Caenorhabditis elegans: one gene and its partners. The protein of the gene in region 3 purifies or fractionates together with the protein of the main gene of each other region. This does not show direct contact. Each region holds a gene or a part of one and is shown on either strand. Other genes may lie near its edges.

What was found.
Region 1: the proteins of snr-7 (region 3) and rpb-11 fractionate together in Caenorhabditis elegans (co-fractionation; one large-scale study listed by BioGRID). This does not show direct contact.
Region 2: the proteins of snr-7 (region 3) and mrpl-55 fractionate together in Caenorhabditis elegans (co-fractionation; one large-scale study listed by BioGRID). This does not show direct contact.

The regions. Positions count from the first base shown.
Region 1 is NC_003280.10:14,056,598-14,064,356, reverse strand, and holds rpb-11 (putative DNA-directed RNA polymerase II subunit RPB11), read right to left. Parts: upstream 4,273-7,759; 5' UTR 4,268-4,272; coding exon 4,193-4,267; intron 4,145-4,192; coding exon 4,080-4,144; intron 4,025-4,079; coding exon 3,796-4,024; 3' UTR 3,733-3,795; downstream 1-3,732. Other genes in the region: lem-2 (LEM protein 2), read right to left, coding at 1-705, 762-902; W01G7.4 (putative RNA polymerase II nuclear localization protein SLC7A6OS), read right to left, coding at 1,879-1,948, 2,808-2,908, 2,982-3,272, 3,325-3,618. UniProt on the Caenorhabditis elegans protein: DNA-dependent RNA polymerase catalyzes the transcription of DNA into RNA using the four ribonucleoside triphosphates as substrates. Component of RNA polymerase II which synthesizes mRNA precursors and many functional non-coding RNAs.
Region 2 is NC_003282.8:439,074-447,339, reverse strand, and holds mrpl-55 (39S ribosomal protein L55, mitochondrial), read right to left. Parts: upstream 3,356-8,266; coding exon 3,283-3,355; intron 3,068-3,282; coding exon 2,940-3,067; intron 2,866-2,939; coding exon 2,770-2,865; intron 2,725-2,769; coding exon 2,644-2,724; 3' UTR 2,554-2,643; downstream 1-2,553. Other genes in the region: dpm-1 (Dolichol-phosphate mannosyltransferase subunit 1), read right to left, coding at 1,307-1,657; hum-8 (Myosin motor domain-containing protein), read left to right, coding at 6,796-6,997, 7,616-7,890, 8,255-8,266.
Region 3 is NC_003279.8:2,723,246-2,730,805, forward strand, and holds snr-7 (putative small nuclear ribonucleoprotein G), read left to right. Parts: upstream 1-3,768; 5' UTR 3,769-3,772; coding exon 3,773-3,901; intron 3,902-3,954; coding exon 3,955-4,059; 3' UTR 4,060-4,137; downstream 4,138-7,560. Other genes in the region: Y71F9B.6 (Cyclin N-terminal domain-containing protein), read right to left, coding at 482-922, 1,982-2,156, 2,513-2,662, 2,741-2,825, 2,894-3,021, 3,073-3,230, 3,284-3,406; yop-1 (Receptor expression-enhancing protein), read left to right, coding at 6,765-6,991. UniProt on the Caenorhabditis elegans protein: Plays a role in pre-mRNA splicing as a core component of the spliceosomal U1, U2, U4 and U5 small nuclear ribonucleoproteins (snRNPs), the building blocks of the spliceosome.

The DNA of each region.
Region 1 (7,759 bases), on a different chromosome or scaffold from region 3:
ATAGCCGAGCACCTTGTTCCACGCGTTCTTCACAATGCCCCGCCGCGAGGGTTCTTCTGTCTTGTAGATGATTCTACTCGTCTCTTGACCTTCAAACTCGTCATCATCATCCTCTTCTCCGGTAGTGTTTCCCAAGTCGTGAAGAACTTTGGACACTTTCGACGTGTAAATCGATTTTCTTGGCGGTGTAGCGCCGGGGCGATCGCTTCCGAATGTGGAGAAGCTTGGCGTGAAGTCTGTGATCAACCCGGGCACTGAGGTAATCCTCCGGGGAGTTGATGGAATGCGAGTAGTAGTTGTGTTGATAGTGGTTTTGCTTGATGATGAAGTAGTTCTTGGAGTATTCTTTGGGACTGGAGATGGCTTGTAAACTGGAGAAAGTCTCTTGTTAGGCGTCGAAGAAACCGGGCGGCCGCGTCCAACACTGCTCGCCGTTGAGTTGGCGCTTCTGAACGAAGATTGCTTGGATTTCGGCGAGAGAATCTCCTCATCGTCATCGTCGTCGTCTCGCATATCATCGTCCGAATCGCTCATTTCCTCGATTTCCGATCGATTAAACGTGGAATTTATCGTGCTATTGGCGGCGGTCGCGGCAGCACGTGGAATTGAGCGTCTGGCCGGCGGCGATTTTGGGGATTTTGGAGCTGGAGCGGATTTTGGAGTTGGTTTTGGTGCTGGTTTGGCGACGGTAGGACGAGCAGGAGTCTGAAAATTTAATTATAAAAAAAAAATCTAAAGTATTCTAAATCCTTTTAAAATACCTTTGCTCCACCGGAAAGCAACTTCTTCAGCTTCTTCTCGTACAGCGAACGAGTCGTTCCAGTTACCGGGCCAACATTCGCCCCGCGAACGTTCAACTCGGCGCGGAGCTCTGCATCCGACATTTTCTCAACGTCGACCATTCTCTGAAAGTAAAAAATAATTAAAAAATCTTATAAGAACGCGAAAAAATGAAGAAAAACGAAGGAAATCGTCAATTTTCGAAGGTTGTGAAATTTGAACCAAATGCGGCGGGAAATGTCAGTGGAGCGCGCTTGCGAGGAGGCGGTGCGGGATGAACACCACCATGGACGCAAAAACTACAGAATATCTCACCGGAAATTAAGATTTACTTCTAAAAAACTAAACTTTTAAAAAAGAAATTGTTATTTTAATTTTTAATAAAACCAAAATAAACCTAAAATGTGCTAAAACAAAAAACTTTGCCTGCGGATTCTGTTTCTTCAAAAACTTCGTGGTGTCGCAAGTTCGTGGTGTCTCTCGAAAATAAATTCTGATATTCGGAATTTCCGCGGAGGAAATCCTCTGCGAGTCTCGATTTTTCAGGTTTTTCCTTGAATATTCAGGGTAAATTCATCAAATTTTTAAAAAAATCGATAAATTTTGCTCAGTAAAATTGAGTAAAAACCTTTTATTGAATGAAAAATTTTTAAAAATTACAACAAAAAAAATTATTTAAGCTCAGTGCAGTTGCCCGATGAGCTGAAAGCCAAGTAATTCAGCTTTGCAATGCTATGAATCAGCCTGGAAGATTCGATTTCTCGTGATTTCGGTCGTTTTCTGAAATTTCTTTGTGCTTTCCGAGGTATTTCTCGATTTCTCACGTTGTACCGACGCCTGAGAAACTTGAAAAACGACGCAAAGGAACTTGAAAAAGTTCTCAATATTGTGAAAAACGTCGCGTTTTCCGCTTTCCGAAGAAGCTTCAACAAGCAGAAAAAAGGCGAGAAATAGCACAAATAAGGTCTTCATGATACGAATTTCAGAGTTGTGAATGAATGAATGAAAATGAATGAAAAATTGAAAATATGTGTGTGTGTGAGTTACTGATAAGTAAGCTTGAACACTGAAAAAACAAAAAAAAGGCGAAAAACAGTATTAATCGGCGTCTTCGTCAGTCTCGTCACCCTCATAAAATGCTTCGTAGCGTTCGTCGTTCAGGTCCATGCTGAAAAATGATAGAATTTTCAGAATTTCCATCTAAAAATTGAAAACCGCCACATTTTATCACCAAAAAGTTGTACTTTTCAGAATTTTTCAGGTTGAAATAGCTAATTTTCAAGTTTTTAATAATTAAATTGATGAAAATTACTTGAAAGTTAGTAAAAATAAGCGATTTTAGTCGGAATTTTCAAAAAATTGGAGGAAAACCGGGGTTTTGTGGCCGAATTTTCAAACTTTCACATGTAAATTTTCAATTTTTAGCATCAAAATTGGCAAAATCAGTTGAAATTTGCGCAATTTAATGGAAAAACTAGATCAAAACCGCATTATTTCCAGAGAAATGAGCTATTTTAGTGGGAAAATTGAATTTTTAGCCGATTTTTAAGAAATTGACAGGGAGAAATAGCTAATTTCAACTAAAAATTTTCAGGTTTCAACCACAAATTCACTACATTTAGCTGAAATTTGAGAACTTTAATGGAAAAACTACATCAAAGCCGCATTTTTTCCAGAGAAATGAGCGATTTTAGTGGAGAAATAGGATTTTTAGAGACGATTTTCCAGAAATTTACAGTGAAAAATAGATAATTTCAGCTAAATTTTCAGGTTTCAACTACAAATTATGGAAAAATACATCAAAGCCGCTTTTTTTTCCAGAGAAATGAGCAATTTTAACCGGAATTTTCGAGTTTTTCGCAAAAAAAAAAAAGGAAAATAGAATTTTTAGCCGATTTTTCAGAAATTTACGAGGAAAAATAGCTAAATTCAATACTTTTAGCTAAAATTTAAGCATTTTTGTGAAAATTGCCTCAATTTCCAGGTTTTAAGCCGTAATTTCAGCGCAATAATCCAATTTTACACACTTTTGAAGCCGTCTGTGGAAGCTTTCGTCGGAGTATGCCTCCTCGCCGGCGTGCCAATGGTCGGGCTCCGATATTCCGTACGGATCCCCATTGTCGCTGTCCTGAAAATCAACATTTTCATCTGGGGATTTGAAGATTTTCAATGGAAAATTCACAGAATTCAGCAGCTCCAACCTCATCATAGGATTCCTCATCGGGATAGTCATTCCGCCAGTTATCCTCATCATTCGAATCGTCTTCATCATCAGCCGGCGGCCCATCGGAGTCATCTTCGTCGCCCAAATCCAGCTCATCACGCTTGGCGAACCGAAAATCGGCTCCCTCGATGTCCTGCTCCAGGTTTCCCACTACTTCTGGGTTGCCCCGTTTCTCGTGTATCGCGTAGTAGTCGTATACGACGTCGTCACTGCTGCCGGCGGCGGCGCCGCCGCCGTCGGTGACGGGCTGTAGTAGGCGGCCGTTGAGCTGGAAATACAATTTTTGCGCGCTCCACGGGCTCCGTGAGCTCAGCGCTCACCGAAACTTGCTCCGCCGGCTTTTTAACGTTCTTCTCGACCTCTCCAACGAGCCCGACGGCTTCATCCTTCACAAATCCTAGTGGATTTTCCTCGTCAGCCAACTCCATCCCATGTTCCTGAGTTGGAAGATCCAGCACACGGGCTCCATTGAGCTCCAGATCGTTGCCGGCGGCCTTGTAAAGCGTGAAAACCAGCGGATTGCCGCCGTGTTTTGCACGTTTGGTGTGCAGAATCAGAGCATCGTGGGGATCTGCGGTTCGCTTCCGGCTCACACGGATTAGTGGCGCGGTCATCTGAGGGAAATTGAGGGAAATGGGGGCGCTTTTGGGGGAATTTTAGTGTTTCAAAAAATAAAAAATGGGCAAAAACCCAGAAAATTCGAGAAAAAAAACGCAGAAAAAAGCGAAAAAAGCGTAATTTAAAATTTATAAAAGTTCAGAGTAAGAGATCAGTAAGGAAAAAGTGAAAAATCAGTTATATCCACGCTCCTGGTCGCCGGATTGAGTGCACTTTTTGATGGCCGCGTCGATTCGATGCTCGAGCAACGAGAGTTCTCCCACCAAATCGGTTATGGCCGTTGTGAGAGCATCAGCTGGCGTCGTATTGTTGGTTGTCTGGATTCGGAGCAAGATCTTGTGCTCCAACGGGTGAGGGTTCTTGTAGCCGGCGAACAGCACCTCTGGGTCCTTGAGAAGTTGGCTGGAAATTTGAGGAATTAAATCGAAAATCTTCGAAATTATGCGGGTTTTCTAACATTTTCAGCATATTTCCCAGCGTGTGATCCTCCTTCATGATTGTGAAGATCGCCGCATTTGGAACCTAGGAAAATTAATTTTATCATTTCGTTTTGAGTATCATTTTTCTCACCTTTGTGTCTTTTTCAATGTAGAATTTCTTGTCGTCGAGAAGCAAAAATGATTCGAAAGCAGCTGGCGCATTCATTTTTGCTGAAAATTTAGAAAATTGAATATGAAATCCAAAGAAAAATTAAAAAATAGTTTTAAAATTAAAATAATTCAAACTTCGAAAATCAAAGATAGCGCAAGGATGACTGCTAGCGCATTCTCGGTGCCCTTGACGCAATTCTCGTTTTGCGCGGTGATTCAAATGTGAATTCCCGATGATTGCACCAAACTCCGCACAAAATGGACTATTTGCTATTTCCGCGAAATCAAAAAAGCAATGTCATTAAATCTGAGAAGCAAGAAGCAATAGTCGGAGCGTTCTCTGTCTCCTTCACAAATTTTTCCCCCGATTTTCAATGTTTGTATACGTTTTCGTGCAATATATACTTTATCTATTTGTTTGTGAAGTTTTGGCTTCTGGAGGGATAGTGAGTTAGGGTTAGTGTAGGGATATAGTCGAGCTACTGTAGTGGTACAATAGTGGTACGGTAGGAATACTGTAGGGTTACGGTAGTTTCATAAAAAATTAATTTTCAGCCCCAGAAGTCGGGGGCCGCGCCGGAGGTGCGGTCCACGGCTGGTTAATTATATATTAATTGTATTTCAAGCTCAGAATTTCTAAAGTACAATAGAGCGCGCTTGCAAATTTGGCCAAAAAATTTAACATTCACAGAGAAAATATGGCCATTATAAGACTAGTTTAAAAAAAGAAAAAAGAGTTTTTTAGAAGTTTGCAGTTTTTTTCAACATGAGGTAGCAATCGCGCTCGGCCGCACAACTGCAGTTGCAGCTGTCCCCTCATAAAAAAGCGTCTTCAAATGTTTCTTTAAAGTATCATTTGAATGGGGGACAAAAAACGAGGAGAACCCCGACAAAAATCAACAAACCAAATGAAAAATATTTAGTCTGACCAGGTGGTGGCTCGCCGAGCCCTAAAAATAGTGCGCACTTGTCAATAAAATTGTAGGTTTAGACAGTTTCATTTATAGAGAGCTTACCCGGAAGTTGAAAGTCGGTATTTTGGGCGAAAAAAGTTCAAAGGCTACATTCAAAAATTTGAATTCCCGCGCGATCAGAGGTAGGCAGTAGGCGTCGCTGATTGGTTCCCCGAGTTTTGGTGTGTTTTTGCTAGAATCGTTGCGTTTTTTACCATAAAAATTTGAGGAGTTGAACTAGTTTGGTAGGCAGGCGCGTGGGCAGGCAGGCGCGTAGGCAGGCGCGTAGGCAGGCAGTCATTTTCTGAGCCTACCTGCTAGTCTAAACGGTAGGCAATTCAGACGCAAAACACAAACAAACCATTTGAACAAAAGCAAAAAAACCGCGACTCCCCCCTTAGTACTCTAAAAATAGTACCGGCCAAGTACACATAGTAACTAAATATAGAATCAGCTACTACTCTCGATTAAGTTGACACACACACACACACACGCACACGATTGATATAACCCATTCCTCAGCCTTAAAATACTTTGACTAACCAGTTTGGTGACCATTTCTCGTACTGGTTTCCTTCAAAATTTATAGTTTTTTTGGTGAAAAAATTACTATAGGAGTACTGTAGGATTACTGTAGTATTGGAAAAAATGAGTTTTTGTTTTTTTAAGGGACATTGGTTTGGGGTTGGTAGAGGGATACGGTCAAGGTACTGTAGTAGTACTGTAGAGGTACTATTGGAGTACTGTAATGGTACCGTAGAAGTACTGTAGGATTACTGTATTTTTGTAGATCCTGTTTTTCATTTTTGAAGGGAAATTGGGTTCGGGTAAGTGGAAGTTAGTGCTAGGGTACAGTAGTGGTACAGTTCGGTACCGTAGGGCATTGTAGGATTACTATGGGAGTACGTAGTGGTACTGTAGGAGTACTGTAGGATTACTGTAGTTTTGGAAAAAACGAGTCTTTGTTTTTTGAAGGGATATCGGTTTAGGGTTGGTAGGGGGATACGGTCAGAGTACTGTAGCAGTATTGTAGAGAAACTATAGGGGTACTGTAATGGTACCGTAGGGGTACTGTATTGTAGAGGTACTACAGGAGTACTGTAGGATTACTGTAGTTATAGAAAAATTGACTTTTCGTCTTTTGAAAGGGTATTGGTTTGTGGTTTGTAGAGGGATACGGTCCGGGTATTGTAGTAGTACTGTAGAGGTACTAAAGTCGTATTGTAATAACACTGTAGTAATATTGTAGGGTTACTGTGGTAGTGTTGAAGGGGTACTATAGGGGTACTGTAGTAATACTGTAGTGGTGATGTATAGATACTGTAGGAGCGCTGTAGTGGTACTGTAATTCTGGGAAAATATAGTGTTTTCCTTTTTCTAGAATTCCAACATTTTGGAAACTTTGTGGAAACTTTTTTAAAAAAATCGAGAAAAATAGGGAAAATTTTGAAAATTTTTAAAGAATTCTAGAAAATTCTGGAAAAGTCTGAAAAAATTTGAAAAGCTTCAAAAACTTCAGAAATTAATTCTGGAAAGTTCTAGAAATTTCTAGAAACTTGCCAAAGTTTTGAAAAACTTGCAGAATTGTGTCCCAACTTTAAGACAGTATATCTCGGTTGTCTTTGACATTACCAAAAATTTACCAATTAACAATACACACGTAATAATGTGTTCTTTAACTTTGTAGGTTAACTTTTTTCGATATCTCTGAAACCTAGCGAGTTGTAAAGTCAGAAGTCACCAAAGGATGCCTTCAAGGAGAATAGACCACAGCTACTTTTCTGCTGTTTTGTAATAAAAAGACCTTCTACTTTTCAGAGAGAAAGTGTAAAACTGGATATAGTTTTGCAGATGATATGCCCTCACGGGGGGCGAAATCGAAATTAGACCTCACTTTGTATGTTTTGTTTTGAAGAATTCTGTATAGTATTTAATTTGGATTTGGTTTTGGACTTGTCGATGCACGTGTACTGTAGGATTACTGTAGTTTTGAAAAACATGAATTTTCGTTTTTTGAAAAGGTATTGGCTTGGTGCTCAGTGGAGGGTACTGTAGGATTACTGTAGTCCCCGAATCTATCAAAAGTTCTTCTACAGCTACTATATTCCATCTCCTATATATGTATTACAGTAACGCCGATCCCACCAATGCTTTTAGGATCAAATACCGTAACCCATTTCCTAAAAAAGTACAGTACCCCGGATTTAGCAAAAAATTGCCGGTTTGCCGATTTGCCAGAAATTTCAATTCCGGCAATTTATCGATTTGCAGGAAATTTTGATTTTCGAAAAATTGCCAATTTGCAGGAAATTTTGATTTTCGAAAAATTGCCGATTTGCCGGAAATTTTCAATTCCTGCAATTTGCCGATTTACCGATTTGCCGGAAATGTTCAATTCCGGCAGTTTGCCAATTTGCCAGAAATGTTAAATTCCGGCAATTTACCGATTAGCCGGAAATTTCAATTCCTGCAATTTGCCGATTTGCCAAAAATTTAAAATTCGGCAATTTGCCGATTTGTCGATTTGATGAAAACTTTCTATTCCGGAAATTTGCCGATTTGCCGGAAATGTTCAATTCCGGCAATTTAGTGAT
Region 2 (8,266 bases), on a different chromosome or scaffold from region 3:
TAGGCCATGGCCGAGTCCCCGACAAGTTTCAGCGGCCATTTATGTTGCTTTGTTTTCCGCGTGTTTTCTTTCGTTTTTCACCAATTTTCCCCATTTTTTCTTATTAATACTAATAAATAAATATTTTTTGCAGATGCTAAAACAATTTCCAAGTGAAAAAATTGTGTATTGAGTCTGTAAGTAACGGTGAAAGTGGTCAATGTAATATGATGGATTACGGGAACACAAAACCCAAACTTTTTCCCACACATGATACATATGCTGCTCTGATGCTGAAACTACCTGATTTTCATAACGAGACCACTGAAAAAGTTTTGAGGCTTTCAAAATTCAACTTTTTTGGTGAAAAAGTAGAGATTTTCGCACAAAAAGTTGAATTTTGAAAACCTCAAAACTTTTTCAGCGGTCTCGTTATGAAAATCAGGTAGTTTCAGCATCAGAGCAGCATATGTATCATGTTTGGGAAAAAGTTTGGGTTTTGTATTCCCGTAATCCATCATATTACATTGACGACTTTCACCGCTACTTGCCGACTGAATACATATTTTTTCATCTGGAAATTATTTTAGCATTAGCAAAAAAATTTATTTATCAGTTTTGATAAGAAAACACGGGAAAAATTGGTGAAAAACAAGAGAAAACAAAGCAAGTACAAAATGTCGTAAAATGCGGTGTTTTGTGTGCAAACACCGATTTTTCGCATTTTTTCTCGGCCCTCGTTCGAAAAAAGTTGCGGTGATGTTCACTATTTTTTAGCAAATTCAGTGATGAACGACTGTTCAAATAGAAAAAATCATATAAAACCCCAACATTTTTTCCAAAAAAAAATGTGTTAGTGAAATTAGCAGACCGGGAAATTGGGCTAAGATCGGCCAACATCGGCTACCGGATAACTTAAAGTTTAAATTAGCTAAACTGGCAGAAATTCGGCTGATAGTGAATCGGATATTATCAGCACACCCCTGATCCAACTGTGCCTGAAAGTTACAGTTTGCCGAAAAAACTTTTAACGGCACCTTTTCGTCAAACGACAATTTTCAGGTACTATTTGAGGACTTTTTTCAATTTTTTAACAGAAATATATGTTATTTTCAGATAGAACATGCTGTGTTCTACATTTCTATATAAATTTTAAATGCTTAACGTTGCATAATAAGTTCTTGCCATATTTTTCTCAAATTGGAAAACTTTCATCAAATTAACTATTATTTAACTAAAATAACATTTGTACACCTATAAATTTTGAAATTTAAAAAAGTTCTGTTTTTTTAACAATTTTTAGAAAAAATGTACGAATAATGTATACCTTATACTTATGTTGAAGCGCAATCATTTCCGGAATGAATTTTGGATGATGAGAAAGATCTGCGTCCATAAGAATGATAAATTCTCCACGTGCAAACGATAATCCATGTGAATAGGCTGTACCAAGTCCAAGTTTTCCAACTCGTGGCTTGATCAGAATCTTATCGTCTCCGTACTCCTTTTGAAGAAGTTTTGCAATGCCTTGAGTACCGTCTGGTGATGCATCGTCAACGATAATCACTTCATGTGAAACTTCTTTCAGATAATTTTCAATTAACCAAATGCAAATCGGCAAATTTTCTTTTTCGTTGTAGGTTGGCAGAATTATCGAATATTTCGGAGTGGATGTCATAATAATCTGAAACATAAAATTCCTTTTGAATAATCTGACTAGGGATCCCTGTAAAAACTTGGTGAATAAGAGAAACAAAAAGTATACCAATCGGAAGCTTGTGTTAAATACTGGCTACTCGAAATCAAAACAAAATTAATCGGTCTCAAAGTCTTAAAAACACTAGTGTCACTGAAAATTAAAGTTGGAGTACCGAAATCTAAGACTTTGCTTTTTAGAACCAAATGATTCAAAACTACCGAATTTCGTAATGAGAAGTTTTGAAATTTTCTCAAAAAAAAGTTATGGGTCAAAGTTTTAGAAAAAGCTCATTTTCAGCTAAAATCACATTTTTCCACCTTCTCGGTGTGACACCGTCTGGAACTAAATTTTTATTCAATTATCAATCTTTAATAAATATTATGGTCCTTTACTACGCGCTTATTCTTTGATTAAAGTACATTTTCGGTCAGTGGGTCACAAAAATGTACCTTTTATTGGTCCCCCCAATCGATTTTTTCACAGAAAAAAAATGATAAATTTCACTGTTTTTGAGCCAGAAATACGATTTTTTGAGTAAAAAACGTTGAAATTAAGAGTTTTCAGTGAAACTTCACGCTTCTTATCGCATTTTTCCATTTTTGAAGTCAAATTCGTTCTGAGATCGGGTTTTTTACCCGAAAATTCGCGTTTTTCTCGGAAAATGGCTGAAAATTCGGCGTTTATCGCTGAAAAATGAGGTTTTTAGAGGTTTTTAGCATATTAGTATTTTCAAGCTAATTTCGACCGGAAACTCGATTTTCCTCCACAAACTTCTTGGTTTCCTATCCACCAAGCTGTTACGGGGTTCCCTAGTGAAATAGAGATAATTGATATAAAATTGCGACTAAACGCACAAATCAATATTAATCAGATCGAGAATAAAGTCGATATTCATAGTAAATATAACGAAAACAAAAAATCTAACAAAAAAAAAGAAATACTACATGCTAATAACGAGATTTTTCTTATTTTTTCGTGGATTTCTGCCCGGGTGCCGACCAAAACTTCATATACTCCGACTCATCGAAGGTGTCATCGATAACTTCCTGAAAAAACCATTTTTAATTTGAAATCGTTAATTATATAATTACTGTTTTTGTGATCTTGGCTTTTGGTTTACGAGCAGCCAGCCGTTGTCGTCGTTCATCCTCGCTCAACTGTTTGAGGTCGACGGCAGATTGGAATGTCTGAAAATATGTACAATTAAAAAACTGATTAAATATAAAAACTGCAATTAAATATGTATTTTTCAAAAAGCAACCTGTCTCGGTTCAGCGGCGGGAACCATGATTGTCGAACCATCCGGACGGATAAATTTAACTTGGTACCGATGCAAGTAGTCTCGACGGCTGATTTTTCCCAAACTTGCTCTCCACGCATTATTTCTCTCTGAAAATGTGAAATTCACGCGGGAATAGTGATTTTGATTTAGGGAGAGGAAGGGGGAAATGGTTTATAAAAAGTCTGATTTTGAGGAGAAATGAATGGAAATAATAGTAATTGCAATTTTCACATGAAAAATGTTGTACGAAAAATGTTCTGCCACGTTTTTTTTTTGAAAATAACCTTCAAATGATATTTTTCGACCTTTTTCCTTTACTAACCTGCTGTGATGGCTTTTGAGCAGCTTGTTAGCAAGTTTCGCATGGAAATTTGAGTGTTCATCTGCAAAAACATTTAGAAATTCAAGAAAAATCACAGGAATACACTGAAAAATCAATAAGTTTTAATAAAGACGTGTATTTTTGACTTATTCGAGAGGAGTGCACAAACAAATTCTCAGCGGAGCGCGTTTGCGGCGCTCACTTTTCGTGTCACTTACGCGGCAAATGCAAATAAAATTAAAATAAGAAATGAGAAAAATGCGAGAAATTATTGAAAAAGATAAAGGAACTGATTCGAAACGGTAAACAAACTTTATAGTATATATAAAGTTTATACACGGCCTCCTGCGGGTGAAACGCGCAAGCAAGTCGCTCTCGTCATCTTTCACCTCTCACTTGCGCACGCTCTTTCGCTCAAAACGTGAAAAGCGGCGAAAAACGGAAGATTTTGAACAAAGCTTCAAATTCTTGCTAATTTACGTTTGAAAAAAATATTAAAATTGAATGAAAAATGGATTGTTCAATAAGATTTTCAATAACAATTTTAATTTTTGTAGTTCAATATACCAGAAATCACGATAAATATTATTTAAACGTGCGTAACTTTGCGAATAAGAAATAAAACAGGAAGCAGTCAATTATGAAAATAATATTTGAACAATTTTGAACATTTCATTAGTTTAGCGTTTTTTGATTCCGTCACTGGTTACTGAGTTATGATCTATAACAGCTAGCGAGGTTATATCAAGGAATTTAACTTGTACGTTTTCCAAAAGAGCATAGCTCTCTCGTGAGCATAGATATCAAAAAACTTTTAGCCGAAGAAATGCTCAGCATACAAAACACTACAATTCTTGATTTTACTTTTTTTAATTCTTTTATTATTTAAAAAGATATACGCACTTAAAAACACAAGTACTACGTTTTTGATAAAATCCCATTGCGCATACATTACCACTGTTGTAACTACTCAATGGCTTCACTTACGAAAAAGTTCTTAACTGAGAAATGTTGGCTACATTATCAACTTTAGTTTTCTAGTTGAAAAGTTTTTCATATCTTCCATAGTTTTCAAGATGCTGCTTACTGAAGACAAACTACAGTATAAAAAGTTGGAATAGGTTTTGTTTTTTTGGGTCTCCTCTTCCAATTTAGCGCATTTCACGCGCAGGACGCCGTATTGAAAGTTGAGTTTCCGCTTACCATTTGATTAAAAGCCCGCAAGTTTCCGTGAATTTACGTGTATTTATTGCACACGGTGTTTGTGGATTTTGAAGCTACAGTAACTAAATTATCGGGGAATTTTGACCTTTAATAAAGTTTTCGATTTTTTTGGAAAATTGAAAAAAGTGGCCAACTATGATCCGCCTATTATTCACAAATGTTAAATAAGTGTGTGGGGATCAGGGGTGTGGGGCAAATTTACCAAATTTACCGCAAACATCAAAAATTGACAATACAATTTTAGCCGAAACTATTGATTTTGTCCTCAAAAATTTTGTAAAATGGCACAAAATTGAGCTGTTTTGATGTTGAAGAAGACACACTACACGGAACTTGTTTGGAAACCAGATGTGTGTTAAGAATTCAGTAGTTTTGGTGCTCTAAAGACTTTGAAAAATATAACATTTTAGGAGTTTGTTAAGCTCGGCAAATTTACCGAACTTGCCGAATTTGTCGTGCACTGTAAATTTGGCCAACTGGCTATACCAGTTAATTCAAATCTTGCGTTTTCAACTCGACTTGAGTATTTTAAAGTCGATGGACGAAGAGATTTTGTAAATTATAACTTTTTAACTTTTTTTTGACCATAACTTTTTTTGAGAAGTTTTACAGAAGGGTCAGTATGAAATTCAGCGTTTTCAGACAATTTTTAGTCTCATAAAGTAATTTTTAAAAAGTTAGACTACACCACTTTTAAGCACGGCAAATTTGCCGAACTTGCCGAATTCGCCAAGCTCGGCAAATTTTGAGATTGCCGCACACTTCTGGAGAGGTCAGCGGTGGGCGACAAATTTGCCGAATTTGCCGTTTGCCGAACACGGAAAATTTCAAAAAAGAAGATTTGCCGAATTTGCCGAGCAGCAAATTTCGAAATTTGCCGCACATATCAAAAATTTAACATTGCAGTTTTGACCGAAACTATTGATTTCGTCCCCAAAACTGTAGTAAAAGGACACAAAATTAAGTTATTTCGATGTTTAAACAGATACACGACACAGAACTTACCGTATTTCCTCTATTAGTATGGTCTCCCTATTAGACTTGCACTCCCTATTAGTATTACCCCTCGGAGACCCTCCGAAAATTAGTATTACACTCCCTAATAGTCTTGCGTTTACTTTTTTATTGCAAACCCGTCTCGCCAATTTGAGGATTTCAACAACATTTTTTGCCTATTTTGCAACAGTTTCTCACAACATTGAAATTTTTGAAATTGAAATTTTTTTGAGATTGAAATTTTTAAGCTTATATGTTACAATTAAAATCATATTTTCTGAATTTTTACATAAGATTCGAGTTTATTCAGAAAAAACTAGTAAGCTCAAAGTCAAAAAAAATGTTCTGAAAATTAGTATTGCACTCCCTATTAGTATTGCAAGCGGGAAGACCATCGAAAAATGGCATTGCAGTCATACTAATAGAAGAAATACGGTATTCAGATACCAAATGTTTGTTCAGAGTTCAGTAGTTGTGGCGCTCCAAAAAACAGCAAAAAATATCACATTTTTTGGATTTTGTTAAGCACGGCAAATTTTGAGATTGCCGCACACCAGGGGTGTGCGGCAAATTTGCCGAATTTGCCGAATTTGCCGTTTGCCGAGCTCGGCAAATTTGCCGAATTTGCCGAGCACGGCAAATTTCAAAAAAGTAGATTTGCCGAATTTGCCGAGCTCGGCAAATTTCGAAATTTGCCGCACACGTCAAAAATTTGACAGTACAATTTTGACTAAAACTATTGATTTTTTAGCCAAAAATTTAGTAAAATGACACAAAATTAAGCTATTTTGATGCTTAAACAGACATACTACGCGGAACTTATTCAGAAACCAGATGTGTGTTAAGAATTCAGTAGTTTTGGTGCTCCAAAAAACATAAAAAATATCAAATTTATCCGAGTTTGTTAAGCACGGCAAATTTGCCGAATTTGCCGAATTTGCCGAGCTCGGCAAATTTTGAGATTTGCCGCACACCCCTGCCGCACACCCCCGGTTAAGATGTTAAATTCGCCATAAAATTTCAACAAAAAAACTAAATTCCAATTTTTTTTTTCAAAAAGTGAGTCTTATCAATTTCCTTATCAGTGAAACCGAAGGTGCTCGCAGGTGCCTCTGTTGATGTGTACTCTTGTGTCTGATTTCGCCAATCACACACTATTTTCTCATGAAATTTGACATGTTAGTCAACACATCGAACACAATTTTCCACCCTATTCTCACATCATCATGTCCTTATTGCAATTTTTTTCGACAACTTTTTACTTACAAAAAATTACTTTTTCCAGAAAAACAAATGCTACGAACGTTGAACAAAAAACATCAAATCACAGAAAATTCGGAACCTCCTAAACCGCCTCCGGAAATTTTGAAAACATCGGCTCAGTCTTCTTCCCAAAAGTCACGTGGCATTGGGACATTTGAGCCGAAAACAATTCCACGTGACATTGTGGATCCTAAGAAAACTGAGAGAAGAGCTGAAAAAGTTGGAATAAATGGTTTGTTTTTAAAACAATGTTTTCAACTTTTTTATTCATTTTCACAATGTTTGTCTTGGTCACATCGTAACTTTTTATTCAACTTCTCTTGTCATTTTGAGGCTTACAAAATATTATTCGCGATAATTCGATGTTTGAAAAAACTCTTGCACAAATTAAAGTCGCGATTTCAAGCTGAAATATGAAATCAGGGAAAGGTCTTTGAATTTTTTCACTTACTTCAGAAATTTGGAATCAGAGGAAAATTTGGAATCATTTAAAAATTTAAAAATTTCGGTAATATACCTTTAATGAAACCTCACAATTGAGTAAAAACTTTATCAAGTTATCAATGCAAAAACTGCATCGTACCTAATTTTTTTTAACTGAATGTTGTTTTTTGAGAATACTGTAGGTGGCAGTTTTTCTAACGAGATAATAACTACAGTTTGAAATAATATTTTGCAACATTATATTTGAGCTAATGAAGAGTAGCATATTGAAAATGATGTAGATATTTGTTGGATAATATTCCATAATTAGTCAATTGATAGTAAAACGTGGCAAGATATCAATTGAATACATTGAATACACTGAATACAGTAGACCTCCATCCATAATGTCGCTCCATGATTTCAGTGTCTCAGCCTCCTCCGGACTATGGAAGAACAGTGTGGATAACAGATGCAACAGACGGGTTCCGTGCCGCCCGTATAATTGATTTATCAGCAACTGGATTCACACTTCGCCTTTTGGATAATACTGGTGATACTGTGACAAGAGTTTTTGAAGATGTTTTGGCTTGCGAAGATGACTCAAGAAGACACGTGGAAGATAATTGTCAACTGATGCATTTGAATGAGGCAACATTATTGAATAATATTAGATTGAGATATCAAAATGGAAAGATTTATGTATGTTTTTTTAAATAGACATTTTTATCTCACCACAATGGCCAAATATCATAGTAGAAAAATTGTTTTAAAAAAATTCTAATTTTCATATGATTTTTTGAAAATTGAAAAAAATAACAGTTTAAATAAATTTCCATCGAATTTTATGCTCTATTTATGTTTCAAGTGTTCTTATTCAAACATTGCAGTGATTCGAACATGCTATAGTTTTCTCAAAAAAATAAAAAAATGTAAAATGTTTTCTCAGTTTTAACGTGATATTTTGGCATTTCGGCAACATAGGAGTGGTTTTTAACAATTTCCTGACAGGCGCTACTCCACCTTTTAGCCAACTTTAAACTTTGAACTAAATTCAAATTTACAGTCCTACGTGGCC
Region 3 (7,560 bases):
GCATAGCTTAATTGCTCAACGAGATTCGCGGCGAGACCCATCCTCCTCCAAATGTGGCCTCCCTTTAACCATTTTCAGATTTTTTCTTGAATTTTCCGACAGTTTCTCAAAGTTTAAGCTTTTAAATCATTTTTTAGACGTAATTTATGCTATTTTCTATTTTTTGTTGCATTATGTCGATTATAAACTAAGATTAAAGCTTTTTGGGCTAAAAGTCGCTCTAAAAATTTAGATTTTCAATGGAAAAAAAAGATTTTCGATTCAAATCGACTAGAAAATGCATTTAAAAAGTTTGAAAATTGCCTACAGTAACCTTAAAGGCGCATAGCTTAATTGCTAAACGAGATTCGCGGCGAGACCCATCCACCTCCAAATGCGGCCTCCCTTTAACCATTATCAGGTTTTTTCTTCAGATTTTCGCAATTTTTGAGCTTTTTAATCACTTTTTAAGCTTAATCGTTGCAATTTCGTTCTTTCTAACCTTAAGAATAATTTTCTCAAAGTACACATAAGCAGTTGCCACCGTATACACATCAATTCCATTCGAGACCCCAAGTTCTGCCATTTCTCGCTTCAAACTCTTCATTTTGCTCAATGTCAGATGAATCATTGGGTATTTCGCCTCGAAATCCTCATTTATCACTTGTTTCGCCCTCTCCGCCGATTCACAATGAAGTGTGCTTGCCACGCAACACTCGTGACGGATTACAGTCCGTTTTCCGATTCCCAACTCGGAAAATGCGATCGGATCGTACTCATCGATGACTTCTGATGATGGTTCATCTGATCGGCTGGCGTCTAAATCGCATTTTTCATCGATTGAAGTTCCACGTTCATAGCTTGAATCTCGATTTACGGCTTGTGGAACTTCGATGGTTTCCGCAAACATTTCCTCCGAGGTTTCGCCGTTTCGGAAGCTTTCCTGTAAAAATTTTCGATTTTTTATCAACTTTTCACCTAAAATTCACATTTTAAGACTCAAAATCTGCTCAAGTGAACGAAAAATTCCGAAAAAAAGGTTTATTTTAGTGAAAATCTTCAATTTTGCCAGTTTTTAAGTTTCATAAATCCATTATTACAGACCTTAACGGTGGAGTAGCGCCAGTGGGGAAATAGCTTTAAAACACGCCTATGGTACCACAATGACCGAATATCATGATAAAAAATTCAGAAAAATGTTCTAAATTTTATATGATTTTTTGAAAATTGAAAAAATCTCAGTTTTCCCCTAATTCCTATTTGAATTACCGCCATTTGGATTTGTTCGATGGAGCGCGCTTGCACGTTTTTAAATTAATTTATTTTATTTTTTGTTATTTTCCACCGATTTTTAATGTTTTCGGTGTATTTTTGGTGGAATTTTAGAGAAAAAGTCAAAATAAATGCAAATTTTTGATTAAAAAGCAAACAGGCGTAAAAATCAAAAAGTAACGCTTTTAAACGATTTCGAACCTGAATTAATTGATTTCACTGATTTACGCCTGTAAGAGTGCTTTTTAATTGAAAATTTGCAATCATTTTGACTTTTTCTCTAATATTCGAGCAAAAATACACCGAAAACATTAAAAATCGGTGGAAAATAACAAAAAATAAAATAAATAAATTTAAAAACGTGCAAGCGCGCTCAATCGAACAAATCCAATTGGCGGAAATTCGAATAGGAATTAGGCAAAAACTGAGATTTTTTCAATTTTCAAAAAATCATGTAAAATTTAGAACATTTTTCAAAAATTTTTTATCATGATATTCGGCCATTGTGGCCCCATAGGCATGTTTTAAAGCAATTTCCTCACTGGCGCTACTCCATCTTTAAACAGTACGAAAATCAACGATATAAAGTGAAATAAACGAGCAAAATTTGCAAAAATACGAATTTTCGCCTGCTACGACACGAAAAACTCGGTAAAATTGAAGATTTTAGCTAAAATTCGCCTTTTTTCCGCGGATTTTGAATCTTAAAATTCAAAATTCAAAGCCTCACCCTCCGCTCTTTCCTGGAAATCGAGGCGGGCGACTTGTCGAACAGCGTGAAAAACGGCGAAGGATTCCGCTTTCGGCGAATCTGCCCCAGAATTACTTGATCTTCAGCGTCTCGGAAGACAAATGGCCGCAGCTCTTCTGTTGATAAGTGAGCCTGATGCCGCATGCGATCCGAGCTGGAAAATTGGATTATAAGGTGAAATTATGGGAATTTATCGTATTTTTTCAAGATTTTGACCTAAAGGCGCACGGATTTTTAGCAAATTGCAGCGTTTTTTCTTACTTTCTGCTGAAAATTTGCGTTGTTTTCCTTTTTTTCGGTCTGAAAACTGAAAAATTTAACAAAAAAAACTACCACATGCTGTCTTTTCGCGTCGATGCACAGCTGAATAAACCCATGTGCCTTTAAGATCGCATAGCCGAAATTTCTGAATTCCTGCGCTTTTTTTGTGAAATTTTGTTAGATAATTGCCAGTTTTCGGGGAAAATTAGGTAGAAGATATAAATTATAGAGGAGATGTTAATTCTAAACCTTCCAAAAATCGATTTCGATCGGAATTTCTTCTTATTGACGGTTGTGTTGGCGAAAATCGGCGCCAGCGGATCCACGTAGTCGCTGTTCGGCGAGATATACGAGAAAACTGCCAGAGGCTGGCCATTCGTCGAGGTGCAGATGTAAAATCTGAAAATGTGGGTTAGTTCGCAACACGGAACGGTTAGTGTGGGGGATTTTAGAGGATTTTATGATGGTTGAACTCACCTATCTGCATGGGTAATGGTGCTTTTGAGCCTTCTCAGAAAACTGAACTGATTTGAAGAACAAGATGGTGATTCTGAGCGAAATTCTGTGAAAATTTTGAATTAATTTATTTTATTTCAAGTTTTGTAAGCTTTTATAAGCTCGCCAGCTCACCAATCAGCCCACTATCTTCTCTCCCGACGCCTTCTTCAAGAATCGGAGATCTACTGTTTGTGGCGGTCATTGAATAGATCACGTCGTCGGAGCTCATGATTTTCGCGATTCTTCGGAAGATTGAAGTTCTATAAATAGAGAAAATTAATTAATTATATTGATTTTCAACTAATTTTCACTTTTTCTGTGGTGTCTCCGCGTATTCCTGCGGCAAATTCGACGAGCTTAGCCGTTCTCCGAGTGAAGCGGATGTTCCGAGTGAGATCACTGATTCATTGTTGCGGATGGTGGTTGTGGAGCTTGCGCCGTTTGAAAACTTCTTTTCCGTTGGAGATATCTGAAAAAATTATCAATTAGTTACGAAAATCGCTGAAAAACCAAGATTCTCACCTTCGGAAGGCCTTTTGTTTGGAAAATTCGAAGATTTGTGTCATTGTGGCTTCCATCAACACTGATATTTGATAAGAAATTTTGTGCGACGAGAATATGATAGTTACTCTTCTTTTTTACCATCTAAAATTGGAAAAACGAAAAGAAAAAGCTCGGAAATCCGATAAGAATTGTGTGAGTACGGTGTGCAAGCGTCTGCAACTTGTCGTCATTTATGGTGTACCAAGCGTGGTGTTTGCGTACTATTCGAATTTCGAAAAATAATTTCGTCGATTTTAGCCTTTTTCATCCAATTTTCCTGATAATTATCATGTTTATTCTTTGAAAAATTAGTTAAAAAATGTTATAATTAATGTATTATCTGAATTTTCGATAGGTGGAAGTTGAAAAATGAGCTTTATTTTCTATTTTAAGTAAAATCTGTTTCTTTGATGATTTTTCCATTCTTCATTTTCATTTCCCCCTGCAAATTCTCAATTTTTCAGAAAAATGAGTAAGACACATCCACCAGAGCTCAAAAAGTACATGGACAAGGAGATGGACTTGAAGCTCAACGGAAACCGTCGCGTCTCTGGAATCCTCCGCGGTTTCGATCCATTCATGAACATGGTCATCGACGTATGTTTCTTTTTCCGTTTTTGTCTAATTTATTCTAAAATTTAATATTGCAGGAAGCTGTCGAGTACCAAAAGGACGGAGGATCCGTCAACCTCGGCATGACTGTCATTCGCGGAAACTCCGTCGTCATCATGGAGCCCAAGGAGAGAATCTCCTAGATTTTTCGATCTCCACAATTTCCTGTCACTTTCTCAATGTTTTCATTTTCAAATTTTGATATTAAATTTTTGAACCTTTTTTTTGATAATTTTTGATAACTACGTGGTCAAAACCCACTTCTCATCTCTGATTCACGTGAATTTCGTATAGATAAGAACTTCGCAAATAGAATCAATTCACAAACAAATGTACCAAAAGTTATGTTTTATTATTGCAGGCATAAAAAAAATCAATCGTAAAGCTTTTTTTCAGCATTTTGTTTTTCCACGGCTCAAATTGAACGAAATAGTGTTCATTTTGAAGAGAGGCACGAAACAGAGTAACAAAAACACGGAGAGACTTGTGTATCCCTCTTCTCTTTCCACTATGTGCGGTCGACGACGCTCTCCACATTTTTCTCTCTTTATTCTTCTCGTTACTCTTACTCGGCACAACAGCAGCAAAAAAGAATACTCTTTCCCCACTTCTTATCTCTTTTTCTGCCGACCTATTTTCTTCTTTCAAAACAGAAAAATGTTCCACACACACGCCTATCATCATCCGAAAGCTGTACGAGATGTGCTTTCTCATCTTTCCGTACTCTTGTGGCTGCAGCCGTCGAAGAGTTGAAATATCAATTTTCAAAACGCGGCAGATTCTCAGCCGGAATTCAGTGAATTCGCTTGATTTCTCGCCAAAATATAGAAATCAGACGATTTATCTGAAAATAACACCCATTTCAGTTGAAACATGCGAGAAAATGCTGAAAAATAGCCTGAATTTGCTAATTTCAGGCCATTTTTGAGCTCTTCCTCAAGTGTTTCGACTGAAATAAATGTTTGTTTTAGATAAATCAAGTGATTTTCTATAATTTCACATCAATTTTAAATGAATCAACATGTCACAATAGGTCATTTTGAAAAATTGGCGCCAATCCCCAAACCTGATCTGGATTTGAACAAGAGTTTTCTACTTCGATTTCACATTTTGCTGAGAAAAACCGAAAATTATCGATGTTCTCTTTTGAAAATTGAACGCTTTTCAGTGATAATTAGGAAAAATCACCTTTTTTCAAGTCGAATAATTTCAAAAGCTTCAGAAAATCCAATGTTTTGACTCGAATTCAGGAAAAACCGGAAGAAAATCGCGAAATAATATAAAATCCGAATAAAAAAAACGCGATTTTTTTCAATTTTGGCTGAATTCTCCACACTCCAACTGATTGATCGTTCATTTTTTAAAGGAATTTAGCCAAAATTGCAAAATCCCGATTTTAAAAATAAAAAATTAATTCTGTTATGATTCCGCGTTTTTTATTTTGTAATAATTCCCATTTACGCCGTCTTTTAAAAATGCAGACCCACAATTTTTCTGGTGAACATTTCAAATCAATTCAAATTATTTTGATCTGATCTCCGGCGCGAATCACTTGTACTTTGTTCTCTCTCCTCCCGTCTCCTCCGTGGCACTATGTCATTCTGAAGTTGTTTCAATGACAAATCACTCACGCACACACACACACACAATGGATTGTGCCCTTTGTGTTGCCGTTTGACTATCATCGATTGATTCCATTCCCGTTCCGTTTTCGCCGTGCTCTCTCTCTCTGGGTTTTTCGTCTTCTCCCGGGAACACTTGGCCAGTTATCACTCGCTCTTTCTGTCCTCCTCTCAACAGCTATTGGCTACTACTACTACTGCTGCTGCTGCTGATCCGGCTCCGGTTGGCTATAGGCACATTTTGATGCGATTTGTGTGTGTGTGTTCTTTGGAGATTCAATTTGAAGAACTCTTCGCCTTTTTTGTATAAGTTTTCTTTTCGGGGGTGAAAAAATTCGCATCTTTATTCTCTTTAAGGTGGTGTAGTCTAATTTTTTTAAAAATAGCTTTATTAGACTCAAAATTGTCTGAAAACACCGAATTTCATAGTGTAACTTCTCAAAAAAAGTTTATGACGGCTCCAAAATGGCCTAAAATTAGTTAAAATTTGAAATTCGACCAACTTGTCAAGCGGCTGGAAACAAAATCACCGTCAAATTTTGAGTATACAATGTAATTATCTTGCGTTTTTAACTTCATTTAGGTATTTTAAAGTCCATGGACGGCGAGATTTCACAATTTTTTTAACCAAATCTCGCCGTCCATCGACTTTAAAGTACCTAAATCGAGTTGAAAACGCAAGATAATTGGATTGTATACTCAAAATTTTACGGTAATTTCAAAAAAAAGTTTCCAGCCGCTTGACAAGTCGGCCAAATTTAAAATTTTAACAAATTTTTAGACCATTTTTTCAGCCGTCAAAACTTTTTTTTTGAGAAGTTTTCAAGAAGTTTCATTATGAAATTCGGTGTTTTCAGACAATTTTGAGTCTAATAAAGCAATTAAAAAATTCGACTACACCACCACCTCAAAAATTTATAAATTAAATATATTGAGAATATTTTACCTGGGGTTTGGTCCCTAAGCTAGGCTTCTGAGCAAGATAAAAATTGAAAAAGGTGATAAATTCATCACTTTTTTCTCAATTTTTTGGCTCAGAGGACTAGCTTGGGGCCCAAACTGTTCACTTTCTCTCAGAATTCCGAATTTTTGACCCCGGAAACAGAATAAAAATGCACAGCCCTGACTGGTTCACATCATAACTCTTTTTATTTTATCGCTTTTTTGTCTCTTCTTCTTCTCCGCCGCCAAGTCATTCCTCTCAACATCCAATTTTCCAGCGCCCAATGCCTGTCCCACCACAAGTGCAAAAGGTCTTGGACGATGTCGACAAGCAGCTCCACGAGCCGAGCACCGTCACCAACGTGCTGGCGACCGTTGAGCAGAAGACCGGAGTCAAGCGGCTTCATTTGGTGCTCGGCGTCGTCGGTCTTCAGGCTCTCTACCTCATTTTCGGACATTCCGCCCAGCTTGTGTGCAACTTTATGGGATTCGTCTACCCGGCTTACATGAGGTTCGCGAATTTTGCAACAAAGAAAACTGCCGCACAGAAAAAGAGGCGGGGCGTAATTTTGCAACCCTGCGGCACGGATTTTCGCTCTTTTTTGTTGATTTTTTTAAATTCTCATAAGATTGTGAGGACGCTATCAAAATTTATTTATCGATCCTTGCATTTTGCAAAAAGTTTTGTCGCACAGAAAGTGGGGCGGAGCGTGCTTTCGCAACACCGCCGCACGGGGTTTGTCTCCGCCCATTTTCCACAGCTTTTCTTGTTGATTTTCTCAAAAAAGTTTTGATTTTACTTGTCTTTTTCTTTTCTTTTTCGAATTGGATCACATTTTCATTCGAAAAAAAGGGGCAAAAACAAGAAAAATCGAAACTTTTATTGAAAAAAAATATACAAGAAGAGCAGTGGAAACATGGCGGAGACAAACCCCGTGCGGCAATGTTGCGGAAGCTCGCTCCGCCCCAATTTCTGTGCGACAAAAATTTTTGCAAAATGCAAGGATCGATAAATAAATTTTGATAGTATCCTCACAATCTTATGGGAATCAAAAAAAATAACAAAACAAAAGGAGCGAA